Linked DNA regions of Macaca fascicularis. The protein of the gene in region 1 binds, or shares a complex with, the protein of each later gene. Links are inferred from orthologs where the notes say so. Each region holds a gene or a part of one and is shown in the gene's direction. Other genes may lie near its edges. The genes, in order: XPO1, PKIA, XPO5, E3 SUMO-protein ligase RanBP2 and RANGAP1.

Region 1 (3,510 bases):
AAGGTTAAGGACTACTGACTTAACCAGTTAGGTTTGAGTGGCATTGGCTTTGAAGAAAAGCAGAGGAAAGATATTTTTTATAATTCTGGGCAACAAAAAGTTGGATGTGTGCCAGCATCTTAGAGTAGAATCCTCTTAAAAGGATAGCGTTGCATATGAACTAGTAGGTTTTAACCAGTACATATTTTGGCGAAGTAGCTCATTTTTCTCTTAGAATTCTTTTTTATTTGGGAATGGGCAGGCTTTTACAGCTTTTAACTTGCCAATGAATCTTGTTAGGCATATTGCCCGTAAAGTTTTTTTTCCTAGATTATATATTCAGTAAATATGATTGTAGATGTAATTTCAATCCCCCAATTCATTGAGGGTTGAAACAATTTGAATGGTTTGAGTGTAGAAACTAAGTTATTTCTGTAGAGGCTAAGGGGATTTATACCAAGATATGTTAGACTTGTGGTTCCTGCTAACCATTGCTGTAGACGATAGGAATTACTGTATATCCACATTTTGATTTTTAACGTCATTCTGTCTTTTTTTGTTTGTTTTTTGAGATGGAGTCTCAATTCTGTTGCCCAGGCTGGAGTGGGGTGACGCATCTTGGCTCACTGCAACCTCCATCTCCTGGGTTCAAGCAGTTCTCCTGCCTCAGCCTCCTGAGTAGCTGGGATTACAGGCGCCTGCCTCCACGCCTGACTAATTTTTCTATTTTTAGTAGAGATGGGGTTTTGCCATTGTTGGCCAGGCTGGTCTGGAACTCTTGACCTCAAGTGATCCGCCCACCTCGGCCTCCCAAAGTGCTGGGATTACAGGTGTGAGCCACTGCGCTCAGCCCATTCTGTCTTTATAGAATTATTTTTATAAAGTTAAGATAATGTGAAGTGAGCTTTTACTGAGTTATCCAGAAGACCCTAGTTGGGAAGAAAAGAAAAACACATTCACTTGAACTTAATCCTACTTGCTTAAGAAGTTTGGACATCAAGATACTGAACTGTATCATGTTTTAGGACCATAAAATCCTAATAGTGGATGCATTTAAATAATAGGTTAGCATACTTTATAAATGTTAGTAGAATAGGGGAGTCTTTCTGGTGTATAAACAAAACACTAGAAAAGTTGAATGGACCATAATAATTTATGTAATTATCAAATAGCTAAGTAATTTCAGCTTATGTTACTGGCTTTTACTTTCTGTTTTTTGTAATTAAAGTCTCTAAAGTATTCATTAAAATATTTGTAATAACATGGTTGAAGTAAAATAACTTGTAGGAAGTTTCTGATAATTCCAAAACTTCATAGGCAGCTTCAATGTTTTTTCTTTATTTTCAGTAATCTATGCCAGCAATTATGACAATGTTAGCAGACCATGCAGCTCGTCAGCTGCTCGATTTCAGCCAAAAACTGGATATCAACTTATTAGATAATGTGGTGAATTGCTTATACCATGGAGAAGGAGCCCAGGTAAAGTAACCAACGAAAACTTTATAACATTTTGACAGTGTAACAGAGTTGTTGGGTTTAGAATAAAATTTTAAATTATCACCTTTAAAAAAGATATTCCATAGTTTGTGTTAATTTGGAATTCTATATTAACCATAATGAGAATTGGTTTGGAGAAAAAAATTGCATAATGTTTGATATGGTTACATTGGGTTGTTTTGAAATACTATTCTTATACTTGTTCTGTCCTTAAGAGCCGAATGTTATTAAATACTTTGTAGGTATTAAAGGTTCTCTGTACTTTTATATATACTTAATATGTTTGGAGCTAATATGATTCTTCTACTTTTAAAACATTTACAGAAGTACTTCACAGACATGTTTGTTTAATTAAAAACAGGAATACCAAGTATTTTTATGTTAGTTGAATTTCATACACTTTTCTAAGTGGTACTGTTAATGTAGGGAATTATCTTGAACATAAACCATGCTTTGATCAGTTTAAGTTTTTCGCTTTTTTGAACCCAACGAAAAGGTGAAACAGAAATGTGTGTAAAATTTTAAATTGTATGTGTCACAAGAAAAAAAAAACTTGATTTTTTACCTGTGGGGCCAAACTTTTTTTTTGTTTTTTTTTTTGAGACAGAGTCTTGCTCTGTGTCCCAGGCAGGAGTGCAGTGGCATGATCTTGGCTCACTGCAACCCCTGCCTCCTGGGTTCAAGTGATTGTCTTGCCTCAGCCTCCCTGCTAGCTGGGATTACAGACGCGCGCCACTATGCCTGGCTAATTTTTGTATTTTTAGTAGAGACGGGGTTTCACCATGTTGGCCAGGCTGGTCTTGGAACTCCTGACCTCAGGTGATGCACCTGCCTCGGCCTCCCAAAGTGCTGGGATTACAGGCATGAGCCACCTTACGCCAGCCCAAACATGTTTTTGAATGAGTAAAAAGTTCTGCAGTTGGGTCAGAAATCTTTTTTTTTGTTTTTTTTTTTTAAGATGGAGTCTCGTACTGTCACCAGGCTTGAGTGCAGTGGCACAATCTTGGTTCACTGCAACCTCCGCTTCCCAGATTCAAGCAATTCTCCTGCCTCGGCCTCCCGAGTAGCTGGGACTACCGGCGCACTACCACGCCCAGCTAATTTTTTGTATTTTGGTAGAGATGGATTTCATATTGGCCAGGATGGTCTCCATCTCCTGACCTCGTGATCCGCCTGCCTTGCCCTCCCAAAGTGTGGGGATTACAGGCATGAGCCACCACGCCTGTCCAGAAATCTTTTAAGGTAGTTTTGTTGCCAGAACAGTAGATTTCTGGTTAGATGAATGTTCAGCTAATAGATATGAGGTTACTTATATTGTCAAGATATTTGTATTTGCATAATTAAGAAACTGAGTGCCATTACACTTTTTGAAAACATGTAAGATGCATATAGTACTATCTTTTATAGGTAGTCCAAAAAGCATCATGTATAAATGTTTCCATTCCCTTGTGGAATCTAACAATACTGCTTTCACTATAGTGGAAACTTGAAAAAGGGCTGTGGAAGCTCTAAAAGCAGAAAACATTACTCTGCAGTGATTCTGTAAGCTTGTTAGTCCGGGTTTATACTCTTAGGGCGTTTTGATCAGTACTTTATCTCCAAAAGCATTCTTGAAAAAATTATCCGTCAGTATTTATTATCCCTGTCATTTAGTTGTTACTCATGCTGTACATTCAATATGAAGCTTTAAGCTTCATTTCTTCTAGCATGGATGCATAGAAAACAGCTGCTTTTGGAGGAAGCTATGAAAGTAAGGTTGGGTTCAATTTTGAATATAATATTGGAAGCACAGGTCTGTAGCCATTGGGGAAAAAGGCATTTAATTTTTTCCACATAGATTCAGCTACTAATACTATTTAATCTTTGCACTAAGCTAGTTCACTACATCTAAAGGTATGATAAATAAACCAACAGAGCAGTGTTCTTCATGGCTTATAACAGAATTAGTGGTAATTTTTATAATTGAGAATATATTACAGTAATACTGCTTTTAATAATGTTTCATAGTATTAAGAAATTTAATGGTTTGTTTTA
Region 2 (4,305 bases), on another chromosome or scaffold:
AATGAAATTTTCCCATCCAAATTCCACACTCTGGAATTCTATTCATATACCCCTTTTATACAGATTAAGAATCTCCTGCTCTATGATAATATTAATGACCTAATGTTATGAAAGTGAGTCTCAGAGCGATGAATTAAGCTGTTCTAACTTTCAAAGAGCATACATTCTATGGCCAAGAATTCTAAGTTTTCTTGGAAAGCTCTTGGCTACATTACTACCTAACTTTTGGACTGATGGATAGAAACATTTCATTTAGCAAAGGTGCTTCCCTGGCCTTGTGCAATTGCACTATTTAGGTTGCTGGACAAATCTATAGTGTAAAACTGGCCTGTATCAAGTGATGGTCAATTCGAACAGCAAGGCAAGTTAAAAGAGGGAACTCCATTCCACAGAACCCTAGTGTCAAGGAACCTCCCTGCTAGAAAATTACTCAACAGCTAGGGGGAATCCCTGGCTCAGCTACAAAGAGAGCAAATTTAGGCTCATTTTTCCTTAAACATTCAACCCTCACACCAGAAAAGATTTGGGAAAGAAGCAAAAGTGGAGGGTGGGGGTGGGAGTGGGGGTGGGGGTGGGGGTGGGGTGGGGAGAGAGAACAATCTTGTTAATAAGGGCTTATATGAACACACGCTTGTTTCATTCCCAAGGCAAATTTCATAAATCCTTAGGGAAAGAAAGAGATACAGTCATCTGCTAATGTAGATTCTGCATTTTGATTTCCAAATGTTACAGCTGTCACCACAACGGTTTGTCCAATTATGTGGCAGGGAAGGGAGGGGGTCCAGAGCAGAGGGAATAGGAGGAAGAGATGTTAGAGGGAACATCTGTGCACAAGTGCACCATAAACACAACAAAATCATGGGGCCACCCTGCTGCTTCTTTGAGCACTTTCTCCGGTTGGCCCCACTTCTCCAGTCTTTTGGGAGATTCCCGTTCTATTACGTAGACGAAAGGTTCTAGCTTTCAAAATTGTGAGTGGTTGGGCTGTGTGTGTACGTGTATGTGTGTGCGTGTGTGCATGTGTGTCTGTTGGGGGGGGCGGGTGATGGAGCCAGCTATGAAGGGCTTAGAAAGCTTCATTACCAATTTAAAATGTTCTTGTAGTGCTTGAATGTTTATCTTAAAAGACAATTCCTGCTCTCAAATTCAGCCAAATGAACAATGCTGATAAGGAAGATGAAGAGGGTGGGAAACCCACACTGGCGAATGGAGCAGTCCATGCAGCCGGGGTGATGGGGGAGCGCTCAGAGGAAGGACGCTATGCAGAGAGAGCCCCCCCCTCCCCCCGGCTCTTCTCTCTCGGTCCATAATCCAGCAATGCTGCAACTGTAAAAGCATTAACAGAAAACCAACCCACAACCTCGGGGGGGCAGCGATCGTTGGGTGCCAGTTTCAGGCTGCCTTCCGTGGGGTCGGGAGCGGCCCCGCTCCCCCTGCGGCTGGCGCGGAATGTGGTGATCCGGCCCGGGGCGGGGATGACTTCATGCGGCCAGAGCTCCGCGGCGGGAGCGACGGCTGCAGCTGGCAGGTGGGGCGCGGGCCGGAGCGAGCTGACCGAGCACTCGGCGGGCGCGGCGGGACTCCGTCCCGTGGCGGCGGGCGCGGGAACCTGCGCTGACTAGGTCCGGGGAAGGTAAGCAGCCCAGCCTCGGTGCTCCCTGGCCACACTGCGTGGAGCTTTCCGCTTGGTTAATAATGGGGTTTGCAGCTCGGAGGGAAGAAGGGGAGAACCCCACTGCTTTCTGCAATGGGAAAAGGAGCAGCAACTAGGATGGAAATGTTAGGAGACCAAGTGCAGAGGTTGGAGGAGCAGTGTTACTGGGCAAACAAAGAAGGCGTTCTTGCCTCTATACACTTTTGAACGTGATCTACCATTTCAGTGCCAGATTCGCGTAGACAGTGAAGAGGACTCAAAATGTAAAATAATTTGAATTACTCTCTTCCTTCTGTGCCCCTCTCAATGTCAAAACACCTGCTTCAAGACTGAACCTTTAGAAAGAGCCTGTATTTGGAGGGGAAACTTCTCTTATCTCCTGGAGTTCAGCTTGGGTTGAGCAGCACTTGACATCGCTTCTCCCTTCATTTGCCATTTTCTCTGTCAATCATTTCATTGATCTTTTTCGGAGATGCTGTGCCCATTCACAGGCCAACTCTTGTCAGCTCTTATCCGCTACCTGGGTTCCATGACTGATTTTGTCAAGGTCCCAAAAAGGGCATTGCCTCACACAGATTTCTTATTCGGTATTCTACCTGTATACTGTTACCTGTGTCCTTCCCCCAAATGCATGGAATGAAATATCCTGTTTGTAGCCCTGTACCAACATGGTAGCCCATTAACTCCGTTCGCTGTAGTCACTGTGGCTACTTGCAAGCTAGAGAGGACACATAGAATCCACTGGAGTGTGAGGGATGTTCCCTACGCATAGGCATAGGTAGAAGTAAAAATGTGAATGCCAGTCCATCCAGTTTTTCTTGAAGCAATTTTAGTCCAGCTGGGTTTTGAGACAGCTAACTGTTAAGATTTGGGACAAATCGTTTCTAAAAGGTAGGGGAGTCCGTTTGCCTCTAGGATTCCTCGATAACCTCAAAAGAGTTTCCAGTGAGGCTTTCCCCGTAGGCAGTCAGAAAGCCAATGGAGCTGCCCAATCTAAGCCCCTGGTTATTTGAGTATCCTCTAGTTTGTCTTGCCATTTGCAGGTTCCTATCCTTCATCCTAGGATTTTCCCTACAGACCCCTTGCTACTGAGCCCAAGTGCCTATCCTTGTTGCCACCTAGAGATGTACATTTGAATAATATGCTGTGAAATGGTTAAGATGGCTGTTATGGGGATTGCAAACGTGCTGCCACTTCACCAACAGAGAACAGTTGCAATAAGCCAGATTGTGGGGTATCTGTGTGCCAATGTTCTATTTAAAGGGAGATCTGTTATCTTTAAAACTTGAAATTAGAGAGACTGACTCAACAGCCATGCAATTTTATTTCAGTAAATTAAATTAGAAGATCAATGAAAAAGAGGGGCAGAATTGGTAGCTTAAAATTTTACCTCTGCTTATTTTCCTCTTTGACTATTATTTTTAAACAAAGATACTAGTATGGAAAATCATGTTAATCATATTATATATCATTCTTGCCTTTCTGATTGCAAATTTCTTTTTTTACAAAATACACTTTCGAAATATTTGAATTTGTTTCTTTGTCTCCATCTTCAGTATATGAGGCATAGGGTGTGTGTGTGGGGGGGGGGGCAAAGCCCACTACTGAGTGACCCACTCCAGGAACTGTCCCTTGGGGTCAGTCAGGTCCCTTTTTTGTTATTATTATGTGTCAAATAGGGTTTTGGTTTGGAATATTAACTTCTTGAGATTCTAGAATTTTTACTCAGTCACATTAAAAGGTAACAAAGAACAAGATCAACAAAAAACCCTCTATTCTACCACCTTTTTTCTAGTATTAAAATACTTAACCATATACATCATTATGCTGAAGAATAATAAATATTAATATAGAAGAATAATTTTAATATAATTATTCTAAATAAACCTAAGGTATATGACATGCAGATTAGTACAATTGATCTTAGAAATACAATGCAGTTTCTATAATGTTGACAGTCACCTTTCTGTTGAAGAGCAAGTGCGTGAGAATATCCTAATGATGGTTAGAAATTCGAAGTGTCTATCATTTACTTTCTGAAGAAACAAAACTCTTTGGCAGGAAATAGTTTCAGGATTAGGAGACTGGTGCTGCCTACGGTGGAATAATACTTGCTAGTGATTTTGCAGGTGAGTTGAACCCAACAATTTATGAATTGGAGTTGGAGAAATCTTGTTAAGAAGAAAACAAGTTAGAAAATTTAATTTTCATTTTAGTACAACTGAGGAAGATAATCAAACTGAAGGGATTTCTGAATTTGGACTTTGTTATGTTTAAACAAGTTTGAGGAAAGTTTCTAAATTTAGAAGCCTAAGCAGAAATGTATGTATGATTTTATGTCTGAAACTGATTTATGACTTTATTTCCTTTCCTTAAAATGTTTCCTAGGGAGAGGAAAAACTAATTGGCTGGTGTTCAGAATTGAAAGAGGAATGAAAAATGGAAGGATGTGCATGATTAGATGCTAAATGACTAGATACTAAATGAACTGCAGGCATTTTTGTGTTTGACAAGATAGAACTGAAGTCAATCTACTGCTTTCCAATTGTGTTTATGAAAAAAAAAAAAAAAAAAAAAAAAAAAAAAAAAAAGTTTAGTCTGCTAGGCAGTGTTACCAGAAATTTAGAGAGTAAAAATTTAGGAGTCAAAGT
Region 3 (3,510 bases), on another chromosome or scaffold:
CGTGCATATTTCTATTTCTTGAGACAGAGTTTTGCTCTATTGCCCAGGCTAGAGTGCAGTGGTACGATCTTGTCTTACTGCAACTTCCACCTCCTGGGTTCAAGTGATTCTTGTGCCTCACCCTCCCAAGTAGCTGGGATTACAGGCACATGCTATTGCGCCCAGCTAATTTTTTTGTATTTTTAGTAGAGACAGGTTTTCGCCATGTTGGCCTCAAACTCCTGACCTCAAGTGATCTGCCCGCCTCGGCCTCCCAAAGTGCTGGGGTAACAGGTGTGAGCCACCGTGCCCAACCTAATTTTTGTATTTTTAATACAGACAGGGTTTCACCACGTTGGCCAGGCTGGTCTCCATCACCTGACCTCAAGTGATCCGCCTGCCTCGGCCTCCCAAAGTGCTGGGATTACAGGCATGAGCCACCATGCCCAGCTGTGAAACATAAAACTTTTATCCCTTTTCTGTGTTTTTAGAAGCACTTGCTTTTTTTTTTTTTTTTTTTGAGACGGAGTCTCGCTGTGTCTCCCAGGCTGGAGTGCAGTGGCTGGATCTCGGCTCACTGCAAGCTCCGCCTCCCGGGTTCACGCCATTCTCCCGCCTCAGCCTCCCAAGTAGCTGGGACTACAGGCGCCTGCCACCACGCCCTGCTAGTTTTTTGTATTTTTAGTACAGACGGGGTTTCACCATGTTAGCCAGAATAGTCTCGATCTCCTGACCTCGTGATCCACCCGCCTCGGCCTCCCAAAGTGCTGGGATTACAGGCTTGAGCCACCGCGCCCGGCCTAGAAGCACTTGCTTTTTTTTGAGACAGGGTCTCAGTGTTACCTAGGCAGGAGTGCAGTGGTGCTATCAAAGCTCACTGCAGGCTCAAGTGGTCCTCCCACCTCTGCTTCCTGAGGAGTTTGGACTGGACCACAGATGTGCACCACCACACCCAGCTATTTTTTTATTATTATTTGTAGAGATGGGGTCTGCATTATGTTCCCCAAGCTGGTCTCAAACTCCTGGGCTCAAATAATCCTGCCTCAGCCTCCAAAGTGCTAGAATTACAGGCCTGAGCCATCACACCCAGCCAGAAGAAGCACTTTCACACTTCATTCTCATTCAGACCCCTATTACTAGTTGAATCTCTGTCTTTCCTCTTTTTTTTTTTTTTTTTTTTTGGGAGATGAAGTCTCCCTCTGTCGCCCATGCTGGAGTGCAGTGGCGCAATCTCGGCTCACTGCAAGCTCCACCTCCTGGGTTCACGCCATTCTCCTGCCTCAGCCACCCGAGTAGCTGGGACTACAGGCGCCCGCCACCACGCTCGACTAATTTTTTTTTTTTTTTTGTATTTTTTAGTAGAGATGGGGTTTCACCATGTTAGCCAGGATAGTCTCGCTCTCCTGACCTTGTAATCCACCTGCCTCAGCCTCCCAAAGTGCTGGGATTACAGGTGTGAGCCACCGCAGCTGCTGAGTGTTTCTTAAACCTGAAATTATAAGGAGAATGGTGAAGGAGGATTTGTTACAAGGATGTCCTCCTTCCTATTTTTTTATTCCTACTTTCTGGCCAGGGACCATAATGTGCAGCCTGACGGAAGTCCTGCTAAACTAAGAGTATAATGGAATTGAATATCAGTGCCATTTAGGATTTTAGGAAAAGAACTTTAAGATTTTTCACTGTTAACACAGGATATTTTTGACATCTGGTAAATCTTTTAGGGATTGATTGTGCCCAGGGGTGCAGCCCACCACCTGACAGGTGAGGGATGTGTACTTATGCACTAAAATTTCTTAACTTGCTGCAGCACGGGTCTTTGTAAAGCCTCTGGTGCTCTTCTGTCCCCCAGAGCACTATGAAGCCCTGGTATCCCCCATCCTCGGACCTCTTTTCACCTACCTCCATATGGTAAGATAAGTCAGGAACAGGAAGCAAAGAGTACTATTAAGGCCTGTGGCCATTTTTGACCCTTGCAAGTCAGGAGCTCCTAGAAGTGTTGTCTCCTAGCCCTGCCAGACTGGCTGGGCAAAGCTTCTACCCCAGCAGACTATCCTTGCTGTAGGATCGAGCAGCTCCCAAAGAACTAAACTGATTTAATTGCCACAAGGCAGCTTCAGTTGCAGATTCTGCTCCTAACCTCCTGTTAACTGAGGAAAGGTAAAAAGAGGAATGCTTGCTCACAGACCCTTGCCAGGAATGCTAGGTCTGTTATCCTGACTCTGGAATTAAACAGGGGACTGGCTGGGAGACCCAGGAATTCTAAAATTGTTAATTCTTTCCAAGCAAAGAAGTGTTTGAGATACCACCCTCAGCATGGATGTGGGACAGGTTATAGAAACCATAGATGGTTTTTTTTTTTTTTTTTTTGAGGCGGAGTCTCGCTCTTGTTGCCCAGGCTGGAGTGCAGTGGCCGGATCTCAGCTCACTGCAAGCTCTGCCTCCTGGGTTTAAGCCATTCTCCTGCCTCAGCCTCCCGAGTAGCTGGGACTACAGGCGCCCACCACCTCGCCCGGCTAGTTTTTTTTGTATTTTTAGTAGAGACGGGGTTTCACTGTGTTAGCCAGGATGGTCTCGATCTCCTGACCTCGTGATCCACCCGTCTCAGCCTCCCAAAGTGCTGGGATTACAGGCTTGAGCCACCGCGCCCGGCCCATAGATGGTTTTTTTAACCTTGTGGTGTGGAGTCTACAGAGGTTGTCGTTGATGTCTAGAATCATCCTTGGCTAACTTTAATCATGAAGTGGACTTGACTTTAGATACTATGTATTCCAATCCTTTCCCCAATTCTAGCATTTATTTCCTTTGTGTTTTCCCAGAGGCTTTCCCAGAAATGGCAAGTTATCAACCAAAGGAGCCTGCTCTGGTAAGGGATACCTACCCACTCTTCTTGGTGGATGAGCTGGCAGCCAGATTTGGGGTGGGGAAAGGAAGCGGGCAGGGATTCTGCTGTCGCAGGGTAGAAGAGCAGTAGGTTGTAGTCATTCTCAGTCTAGGTGATACATGGCTTGTCTGGACAGGCTGTGACCAGCAGGCAGACTGAGATCCAGCCTTTATAGGGGCTACTGTTACCTTACTCACTTATTTTGATTCTGTAATGTCTATCCAACTGGACAGAATCACTAGTAATAATGTCCTTCAGTGGATCACTGCTGTCCATTCCCAACTTTTGCATAAAACGAAGACTCGAAGAAAGTGGTCACAGAGAGTCTGATTAGGGTCACTGCTTTCTTTCTGCACTCCTGTGGAACTTGGCCCTCTGGTTTTCTGCAGTGGAGAAGATGAGGCTGCAGATGAAAACCCAGAGTCTCAAGAGATGCTGGAGGAACAACTGGTGAGGATGTTAACCCGAGAAGTCATGGACCTAATCAGTAAGTGGCAAGTAGAAACTGGGGCTATAGAGAATTTTCCTGGAAAAGAGCTGGTCACTCAGCCAACTCCACGAAGGCCTGACTAATGCAAAGGATTCATGTTTGCGGCCTGGCATGGTGGATTGCGAGGTCAAAAGATCGAGACCAGCCTGGCCAACATGGT
Region 4 (3,997 bases), about 44 Mb from region 1:
GATTACAGGCGTGAGCCACCGCGCCCAGCGGAATGCGTGGGTTTTGGCATAAACCGGTGGTTCTGGAACCAATCCCCCGCCAAGGGATGACTTTAAAAAATTGTAATTGTCCAAAACTTAGTATTTGTGGCCTACTTTTTCATTATGCAATTCTAAATTTTTTTTTTTTTTTTTGAGACGGAGTCTCGCTCTGTAGCCCAGGCTGGAGTGCAGTGGCCGGATCTCAGCTCACTGCAAGCTCCGCCTCCCGGGTTCACGCCATTCTCCGGCCTCAGCCTCCCGAGTAGCTGGGACTACAAGCGCTGCCACCTCGCCCGGCTAGTTTTTGTATTTCTTAGTAGAGACGGGGTTTCACCGTGTTAGCCAGGATGGTCTCGATCTCCTGACCTCGTGATCCGCCCATCTCGGCCTCCCAAAGTGCTGGGATTACAGGCTTGAGCCACCGCGCCCAGCCAATTTTTTTTTTTTTTTTAAATTCAGACGGAGTCTTGCTTTGTCGCCCAAGCGGAGGGCAGTGGCGCAATCTCTGCTCACTGCAACCTCCGCTTCCCAGGTTCAAGCGATTCTCCAGCCTCAGCCTCCCGAGTAGCTGGGACTACAGGTGCGTGCGACCCCGTCCCGCTGATTTTTTTTTTTTTTTTTTTTTTTGTATTTTTAGTAGAGATGGGGTTTCACTGGGTTAACCAGGATGGTCTCGATTTCCTGACCTCATGATCCGGCCGCCTCGGCCTCCCAAAGTGCTGGGATTACAGGCGTGAGTCACCACGCCCGGCCCTCATTTCTTTTAATAAATACGAATTTTAAAATGTATACTTTAGTATTCACACGTCCGATGCAACGTATTTAACCAGTCATCTCCAGAAACGTTGTTCCAATTTACACGCTCACCAACTTGGCCTGAGTGCTTTTTTCTTCCAATGCGTGGCGCACTTATAATTTAGAACAAGCGACCAAAACGCTTAAGAGCCCATCACGCAAATTGTTATCTGCTGGAAATCTACCCCCACGCTGTGGACGCGGGGGCCGAAATCTGATCCCGGCTTCCCAAGACACCGCTCAGAACCCAGGGAGCTACCAAGAGCCCGGCTGTGTGCAGCTCTAGCGCCGACGTCGCCAACGTGGCGCACAGTGCTGACGCAGTACGCAAGTTCGTCGGGATGGTCCTCCGCCGGCGACGTCGCTGCGTCACTGGTTTGCAGGCGCTTTCCTCTTGGAAGTTGCGACTGCTGCGGGGCTGAGCGCTGGTCTCCCGCGCCTCGGGAGCCAGGTTGGCGGCGCGATGAGGCGCAGCAAGGCCGACGTGGAGCGGTACATCGCCTCGGTGCAGGGCTCCGCCCCGTCGCCTCGAGAGGTGAGTGGATCTCGAAGAGACCGACGGCTTCGACCTGGCCGGGCGGCGGCCTCGCGAGGCTCGGGCGTCATGGCTCCCGACGGGCGCTGCTCCCTGGCGCGCACTGTTGAGGCGCCGGCCGGCTAGCGCGGTCCTGTGGGCGGCGTGGCGCTGGCAAGCGCAGGGAGAGCCCTGGGGGGACCGCTGTGGGCGGGAGACCGTTGGCGCCGGCGCTTCCTCTTTCTCCCGGCCTGTTCCCGACGGTCCTCGCTCGTGGGCCCGCCCTGGCCCGGGCTTTCTGGCCGGTCGCGCGCCGCGTAGTACCCGCGCGGCCTAGTTCTCGGGGGGCTTGGGCACCCGGGTGCTATGTCGGCGGGATTCTTCCCATCCCCCGGACATTTTACGTGTTGCGGCGGAGGTCGTACCTCCTTGGCCTGGGGGAACCCAGTGGGGACTGACGCAGCTCCCGGGTGCGCTTTGGCGGCTGTGACGAGTGACAACGTAGGGATCTCAGCGCGAACGTTTGCAACGGCCCGACGGCGCAAATGACACGCGAAGTCCCCTTGTTTTGAGTATGAGATGTTTGTCGCTGTCCCTTTATAAGGGTCCAGCTCCACTCCTCATACTCACCTCCCCCACCCCCAGAACAGTTTGGTAGGTGCTTTTGCTTTAAAAAAAAAAATTATAAATTTCTTATAAATCGTTAGTATGGCTTACAATTTTTAACCTTTTCCACAAATGTTCTTAGGATATTTTTCCTCTTTATAGGTAAATAATGTGATCTGTTTTGGATTCAGTAAGACTTTAGCAATTGGATCTAAAGAGTGACGGAAGAAGCTATTAAAGGTGGATGTGCACAGAATGTTGAGTCAGTTTGCTTTGGCTTGAATAATCAGCCCTGTCGTTCATAAGCTGGGTATTTGGGGCCAGTTGCACTTTCCATCCATAGGTGGAGTTGTAACATTGATAGAATTTGATAGGATCCATTTTAAACATTTAGGGTTGTGCTTGATACATAGCACTGAATGTTAGCTACAAGTCACTGTTTTTATTGTTGATGTTAAAAGGATATTGGCGGGGCCCGGTGGCTCACGCCTGTAATCCCACCACTTTGGGAGTCCAAGGAGGGCGGATTGCCTGAGGTCAGGAGTTCGAGACCAACCTGGCTAACATGTTGAAACACCGTCTCTACTAAAAATCCAAAAAAAAAAAAAAAAAAAAAAGCCGGGCGTGGTGGCGCACGCTCGTAGTCCCAGGTACTCCGGAGGCTGAGGCAGGAGAGTCGCTTGAACCTGGCAGGCGGAGGTTCCAGTGAGCCGATATCGTGCCACTGCTCTCCAGCTTGGGCGACAGAGGGAGACTCCATCAAAAATAAAAATTAAAAACAAAAAAACCAAAAAAACAAACGGAAACTCACGGATGACCATGATTATAATAGCAGCACAATTGTGTCTTTTATCATAACTAAGTGTAGGTTATCTTATTTTGTGCTTCCAGCAGCCCTGTGGATATTGAGACCTGTAGAGATTAAAGATACCTGTTCAGGGTCAAATAGGAAGTGCAGCAGAATTTTGGCAGTGGTTCTGATTTAGTTTCTCTTGGGAACAGTGGAGTAAGTTACAGCCTGTTCCTCCAGAGAGGAGGAATAGATACCTACTTGTACATTGTAATTTCAAACTGCTGGCGTAGTCATAAATATGAACGTGGTGATAGAGTCTAAAACAGACCTTATTGAGGGTTCCAGTAACTCCTGAAATTAAAGACTTTAATTTTTATGGTTTTTTTTTTTTGAGGTGGGGTCTCACTCACTCTTGTCACCCAGCTGGATGCAGTGGCGCTATCTCGACTCACTGCAACTTGCGCCTCCCCAGCTCAAGCGGTCCTCCCACCTCAGTCTCCCGAGTAGTTGGTACCACAGGTGCACCCACCACACCGGCTTGTTTTTTTTTTGTTTTGTTTTGTATTTTTGGTAGAGACTGGATTTCACCATGTTGCCCAGGCTGTTCTCGAACTCCTGGGCTCAAGTGATTTCCCTGCCTCCACCTCCCAAAGTGTTGGGATTCCAGGCGTGAGCCACTGCAACATCCATTATTTTATTTTTGAGACAAGGTCTCTTTCTATCTCCCAGGCTGGAGTGCTGTGGCGGGATCATGGCTCACTGTAGCGTTGACGTCCTGGACTCAATCCATTCTCCCACCTTAGCCTCCTGGGTAGCTGAGACTACAGGCATGCCAGCTACAGGCATGCACCACCATGCCCGGCTAACTTTTTTCTTTAATGTAGAGACGGGGTCTTACTATGTTACCCAGGCTGGTCTCCAACTCCTGGGCTCGAGTGATCCTCCCGCCTTGGCCCCAGGTGCTGAGATTACAGGTGTGAGCCACTCTGCTCAGCCTGTTTTTTTTTTTTTTTTTTTAAACAAGCTTAAAAAAAAAAAAAAGCAAGCTTAGAGCCTTTCTGAGATTCTTAGGGGGGACCTTGGCTTCCAAAAGATTAAAAACCACTGGTCTAGACAGAAGTTAGAATGTTCTTTCAACTACATAACTTTTCCATTAAATAAAGTGGAGTGGTGGCAAAATTTTGAGGATTCATTGTTATGACCACTTCTCTCTTTACACTTAAAGAATATTTTTTTTCCCCCAAACAAATTGAAAGTCATTTACATTA
Region 5 (4,226 bases), on another chromosome or scaffold:
TGCCAGCCTCCCTCACCTCGAGTCCTGAGCCGTCTCACCCACTGGGCCCTGAGGCCTGGGTCCGCCCCAGCAGCCTCGATCTTCATGATGAGGTTCCGGCTGGACTCAGTTGTGAGCACCGCCCGCAGAGTCTGGATGGTGGAGTCCAGGGGCCGCCCAGGTGAACTTGACGCTCACCCCGCCTTTCGCTGTGTTCCCCTCACAGAGTGAAGATAAGGTCAAGGCCATTGCCAACCTGTACGGCCCCCTGATGGCACTGAACCACATGGTGCAGCAGGACTATTTCCCCAAGGCCCTTGCACCCCTGCTGCTGGCATTCATAACCAAGTGAGTGTGGCCCTGTTGTCCTTCTGCCGCGGCCTGTCCTCTCAGGCTTCTCTGGCCAGGTCCAAAGGCCTCCAGTCCCAGGAGGTCCAGCCCAGCCAGCCTGCTGGCCCTGCTCGGGTGCACAAGAGGCCCTCATGCTTCCTGGGCTCTCAGCATCTGTGTTGGAGTCTCACCACCCTCGGGAGGCCCGCTCCCCTCTGCCTAGCTGAGGACAGTAGGGCTCAGGGGCAGTGAGAGAGGAGACATGTAACGCCCCCATTTTGCCGATGAGGAAAGGAGCACCGGGTTGGTTAAAGAGTTTCCCTTGGTCACACACTAGGAAGAGGCTGGGCCAGTGTCCAGACCCACGTCTGTGAGCAAGGTGCTATGCGTGGTGACATCTCTGGAGGGGCTTTTTGTCCATGCTCACAGTAGTGCAGGCCGAAGGGGCCCAGTCACACTAGGCCCTGCAGCCCCAGGCCCTCTCCTGGGGACACACATTGCCCCGGGAGCCGCCAAAATGCCCAGCAATGTAGGAACCTTGGCCTTGTTCTGGATGGTCCTGGGGAGTCCTGGGGCATTGATGGGGTGATGGGCACAGTCAAGTAACAGAGCCAAGGCCCCACCAGGGGTGGGGAGGCTTGCCCCGTACACCCTCATGGGGCCCTGTGTGGCCCCTGGCCAACCTGTGGCCTTCATCAGGCCTCAGTCTCCCCATTTGCCCAACCGGAGGGTTAGGTGAAATTGTCTCCAAGCACCCTGACCAGCCACACTTCCAGTCAGTCGGCGCCATCCGGGGAAGTGGGGCAGGTAGAGGAGCAAGAAAGTCCCTTTGCTGGGGGAGCCCAGAGCCCACCGGCCGAGGCAGGATGCTTGGTGCATGTGGGGAGGCGGGGCTGGTGGAGTGTGAGCAGCCCTGTCCACCCCAGCGTCTGGAGTGTCTGTCCGCACGGCGCTGTCTCCTTAGCCAGGCCTTACCTTCTGGCCGCGTGCCCCCCACCCAGACCACTCCTTGGGCTGCAGCTGGACTGGCCTTGGTGAATGGCAGATCTCACTGTCTCCCTCCTCTGCCAGGGGCCAGGTCAAGCCTCACTGTGAATCTTGTGGCTGGCCACAGCCTCACCCTCACCCCACCCCACCCCAGCACAGTGTGCGCCCCCTGAACCCCTTTCCACAGCAATGCCATTGCTGCGGTGCCGAGCTTTGTCCACGCTATCCAGAGCTTGTTTGGCCAGTGGCCCCAGCCCCTCCCTGTACCTGCACCTGAGTCCTTTGTGTCCTTCCTACTCCCTGGTCAGAGTGGTTCCCTCTGCATCTCTGGCAGCCCCTGTGCTGTCCTAAGTCTGGGCATGAGCCCCTCGGCCCTGTTAGAGCAGAATGCCTTTTCCCAGCTTGTTGCCCAACCTCCAGCACAGGCCTCAGTCTGCCCCCCAGGTCTCGTCCGAGGTGATGGATTAACTCTGTAGTGACATGCACGGCCCCTCTTCCCTCAGCTCCCAGCCAAATTGGGATCCCAGGCCTGGTGCAGATCCTGGCCTGTTCATCAGCTACAGGCCAGAGGTGTTGTCAGGCCTGGTCCTGGCTGCGTCCCACACTTGCCCAGTGCCCCAGAGTCTTGCCTCAGTTTCTTTCTTTGCAGTGAAACTAATGATATTGAGGGCAACAATGGGGAGCTCAGGCGCAGTGGCTCCTATCTGTAATCCCAGCACTTTGGGAGGCTGAGGCAAGATCACTTGAGCCCAGGAGTTCGAGGCCAGCCTCGGCAACATTGGTGAAACCCCGTCTCTACAAAAAATACAAAATTAGCTGGGTATGGTGGTGTGTATCTGTGGTCCCAGCTACTTGGGAGGCTGAGGCAGGAGGACCACCTGAGCCTGGGAAGTCGAGGATGCAGGGAGCCGTGATTCCAGGACTGTACTCCAGCCTGGGCAACAAAGAGAGACCCTGTCTCAAGAAAAAAACAACCAAAAAACAATGGCTAGCCATTTACTTATGACCCAGATTGGACTCTAGTGGGCCAGTCATGTGAGGCCACTGGCAGCCAGTGAGGATTCCCTGGCCTATGTCTGCTGGAAAGGCCCTTGAAGAGCCTGGCTGAGGTGGGGCTGTGTTGTGGCCAGCTCTGGGCTGTGTGGCCTTGGGTGCCTACCTCTCACCCCTCCTACCCCCACCCACAACGTGCAGTCTCCCTTGCTGTCTTCCTTGCTGAGTCATCAGCAATGTCTCCCTTGCTGAGTCATTGTGCAAATTAACAAAAATGAGTCTGGTACCAAAATGGCCCCCACACTTGGAAAACGGGGGCCAAGAGGCATCCATCCCACCTGCTGACCCTTCTTTCCCCGCAGGCCCAACAGCGCCTTGGAATCCTGCTCCTTTGCCCGCCACAGTCTGCTGCAGACACTGTACAAGGTCTAGACTCAAAGCCTCTCCCATCCCTTGGCCTGGACCAGTGAGCTGGGGAGGGACTCGGAGGAACTGAGGCACAACCCACGCCGTTGCCTTGGACAGGACTCTGGTCAGAGGCAGGGCGGGTCTGCGTCCCGTGTGTCCTGTCAGTCCCCTGAATATGTGTGTAGGTGTGGTACGCGTGCAGGTCTGTGCCTCCTGTCGGGATTTGGGTTTGAACCTCTCTCTGCTGGCCTGGCTCTGCTCTGTTGTGGGGAGTTGGCCCCCAGGGGAAAGGACTGTGAGCTGCTCCGCCATTAAACTCACCTTCACCTGACGGCGCTCTGCTGATCTCCACCTGGGCCCTGATGGCTGTCCCCACCCACCTGCCTTCCAGCCCGGCTCCCTGGCGGAGCCAGAGCCCAGGGAGTTGCCCGCGTGCTGTCCTTCCCCTCTGTGTTGTGACTGGGCTGTTTCCTGTCCTGCCTGCGGCTGCTTCTCGTCACCAAGCCCTGGTCCTGCAGCAGCTGTCCTCCCTACCATCCATGCCACTGTGCTGAGCGCTCAGCCTGAAGAGCAGAGAATACCATGGGTGGGACTGTGGGGGTGGGATCATGGGGCTGCTGGCAGAGGGCAACCCTGGGCCCCATGCCGTGTGGCCAGGCAGACACCAGATTGTCCAGGAGCAGGAGCTGCTGGAACTGCGCTGGCCCCGGACCTAGCGGACCCTCTCCTGGCTGCTGAGATGTTGTCTGTGACTGGCCTGGGGGCCAAGCTGGAGGGGGTGTGTTGACAACCCAAAGCTGTTGTCCAGTCTGTGGAGGGAGGGGCAGGGTCCCCAGTGTCCGAGCCGTATCTGGACGCTGCTCTTGAAGGACCTCCTGGCGCAGGGGAGCAGTGGGGTCTGGACTGGGCAGATGCTGTACAACCTCCCTGCGTGCCCGTGACTGCCCCATGCTTTCCCCTTTGTGTTCTGTGTGTGTCTGGGCTGTGCCCGGGGGCTTCACAAATAAAGTCATGTGTACAGCTTCAGAGACTCAAACTCTGACCTAAAGCGGGATAGTCTCGGGGGCCATCATACGTGGAGTCCCACCTCGGCAGAGCACACGGCGCCACAGCAGTCTGTGAGGGCAGTCAGCCCTGCGAAGGGCCCGGCCTCGGCCTCAGGCCACCACCTGGGCAGTGGCAGTCCTGAATGAGGACCCATTTTCCTGCCTGGCCACACCTCACCCAGCACCCTGCCTTTGGGCTGCAGCTCTCTTGGCTCCTGCGTTGCTCCTTCACTAAGGCAGCCACCTCCCTTGGGGTCCTTTGCTCCACTGCCACATATGTGAGGGCAGCCCAGCCAACCTTCCTTACCTCCTGCCCTATGCCATGTGTGTGCTTGGGGAGCCCATGTCCCCCACAAATGGCCTCCAAGAAGAAGTCCCTTGGCCAGGCGTGGTGGCCCATGCCTGTAATCATAGCACTTTGGGAGGCTGAGGAGGGTGGATCACGAGGTCAGGAGATTGAGACCATCCTGGATAACGTGGTGA

The links.
Region 2: the proteins of XPO1 (region 1) and PKIA are in contact, whole or in part, in an NMR structure (PDB 2L1L), measured with the Homo sapiens proteins. The link is inferred for Macaca fascicularis from reciprocal best matches to the Homo sapiens genes XPO1 and PKIA. Residues at the interface, in NP_003391.1 of Homo sapiens: Val518, Lys522, Leu525, Cys528, Glu529, Lys534, Lys537, Ala538, Ala541, Ile544, Phe554, His558, Lys560, Phe561, Thr564, Lys568, Phe572, Glu575, Thr576, Val580; in NP_006814.1 of Homo sapiens: Asn36, Leu38, Ala39, Lys41, Leu42, Ala43, Gly44, Leu45, Asp46, Ile47, Asn48, Glu51.
Region 3: XPO1 (region 1) and XPO5 share a complex: the UniProt entries of both Homo sapiens proteins name them as parts of the nuclear export receptor complex. The link is inferred for Macaca fascicularis from reciprocal best matches to the Homo sapiens genes XPO1 and XPO5.
Region 4: the proteins of XPO1 (region 1) and E3 SUMO-protein ligase RanBP2 are in contact, whole or in part, in a cryo-EM structure (PDB 9B62), measured with the Homo sapiens proteins. The link is inferred for Macaca fascicularis from reciprocal best matches to the Homo sapiens genes XPO1 and RANBP2. Residues at the interface, in NP_003391.1 of Homo sapiens: Trp60, Val63, Asp64, Leu83, Asn97, Gln98, Gly101, Ile102, Lys104, Tyr105, Val107, Gly108, Ile110, Ile111, Leu134, Phe149, Asp152, Ile153, Gly155, Ala156, Ser157, Arg158, Thr159, Ser160, Glu161, Leu163, Cys164, Asn167, Leu208, Phe211; in NP_006258.3 of Homo sapiens: Val2508, Val2509, Ser2510, Pro2511, Pro2512, Lys2513, Phe2514, Val2515, Phe2516, Gly2841, Phe2842, Gly2843, Ser2845, Thr2846, Gly2847, Leu2848, Ser2849, Phe2850, Ala2851, Leu2853, Ala2854, Asn2857, Ser2858, Gly2859, Asp2860, Phe2861, Ala2862, Phe2863, Gly2864, Ser2865.
Region 5: the proteins of XPO1 (region 1) and RANGAP1 are in contact, whole or in part, in a cryo-EM structure (PDB 9B62), measured with the Homo sapiens proteins. The link is inferred for Macaca fascicularis from reciprocal best matches to the Homo sapiens genes XPO1 and RANGAP1. Residues at the interface, in NP_003391.1 of Homo sapiens: Lys245, Ser248, Thr249, Tyr252, Lys253, Glu281, Gln282, Val284, Thr285, Leu289, Met292, Gln293, Gln296, Arg340, Asn342, Leu343, Lys514, Val518, Ile521, Lys522, Leu525, Glu529, Arg532, Lys534, Lys537, Ala538, Ala541, Met545, Phe554, His558; in NP_001265580.1 of Homo sapiens: Ala2, Asp5, Ile6, Leu9, Ala10, Thr12, Leu13, Ala14, Thr16, Gln17, Val18, Ala19, Gln22, Leu23, Ser24, Phe25, Lys28, Glu44, Arg55, Ala561, Thr564, Lys565, Pro566, Ser568, Glu571, Ser572, Ser574, Phe575, Arg577, His578.

What each region holds. Positions count from the first base shown.
Region 1 is NC_088387.1:60,389,899-60,393,408, forward strand, and holds part of XPO1 (exportin-1), read left to right. Parts: intron 1-1,326; 5' UTR 1,327-1,332; coding exon 1,333-1,458; intron 1,459-3,510. UniProt on the Homo sapiens protein: Mediates the nuclear export of cellular proteins (cargos) bearing a leucine-rich nuclear export signal (NES) and of RNAs.
Region 2 is NC_088382.1:88,302,053-88,306,357, forward strand, and holds the start of PKIA (cAMP-dependent protein kinase inhibitor alpha), read left to right. Parts: upstream 1-1,504; 5' UTR 1,505-1,633; intron 1,634-4,305. UniProt on the Homo sapiens protein: Extremely potent competitive inhibitor of cAMP-dependent protein kinase activity, this protein interacts with the catalytic subunit of the enzyme after the cAMP-induced dissociation of its regulatory chains.
Region 3 is NC_088378.1:127,992,355-127,995,864, forward strand, and holds part of XPO5 (exportin-5), read left to right. Parts: intron 1-1,789; coding exon 1,790-1,887; intron 1,888-2,795; coding exon 2,796-2,842; intron 2,843-3,249; coding exon 3,250-3,347; intron 3,348-3,510. UniProt on the Homo sapiens protein: Mediates the nuclear export of proteins bearing a double-stranded RNA binding domain (dsRBD) and double-stranded RNAs (cargos). XPO5 in the nucleus binds cooperatively to the RNA and to the GTPase Ran in its active GTP-bound form.
Region 4 is NC_088387.1:16,208,403-16,212,399, forward strand, and holds the start of E3 SUMO-protein ligase RanBP2, read left to right. Parts: upstream 1-1,190; 5' UTR 1,191-1,279; coding exon 1,280-1,351; intron 1,352-3,997. UniProt on the Homo sapiens protein: E3 SUMO-protein ligase which facilitates SUMO1 and SUMO2 conjugation by UBE2I. Involved in transport factor (Ran-GTP, karyopherin)-mediated protein import via the F-G repeat-containing domain which acts as a docking site for substrates.
Region 5 is NC_088384.1:10,364,316-10,368,541, forward strand, and holds the end of RANGAP1 (ran GTPase-activating protein 1), read left to right. Parts: intron 1-205; coding exon 206-327; intron 328-2,651; coding exon 2,652-2,721; 3' UTR 2,722-3,723; downstream 3,724-4,226. UniProt on the Homo sapiens protein: GTPase activator for RAN. Converts cytoplasmic GTP-bound RAN to GDP-bound RAN, which is essential for RAN-mediated nuclear import and export. Mediates dissociation of cargo from nuclear export complexes containing XPO1, RAN and RANBP2 after nuclear export.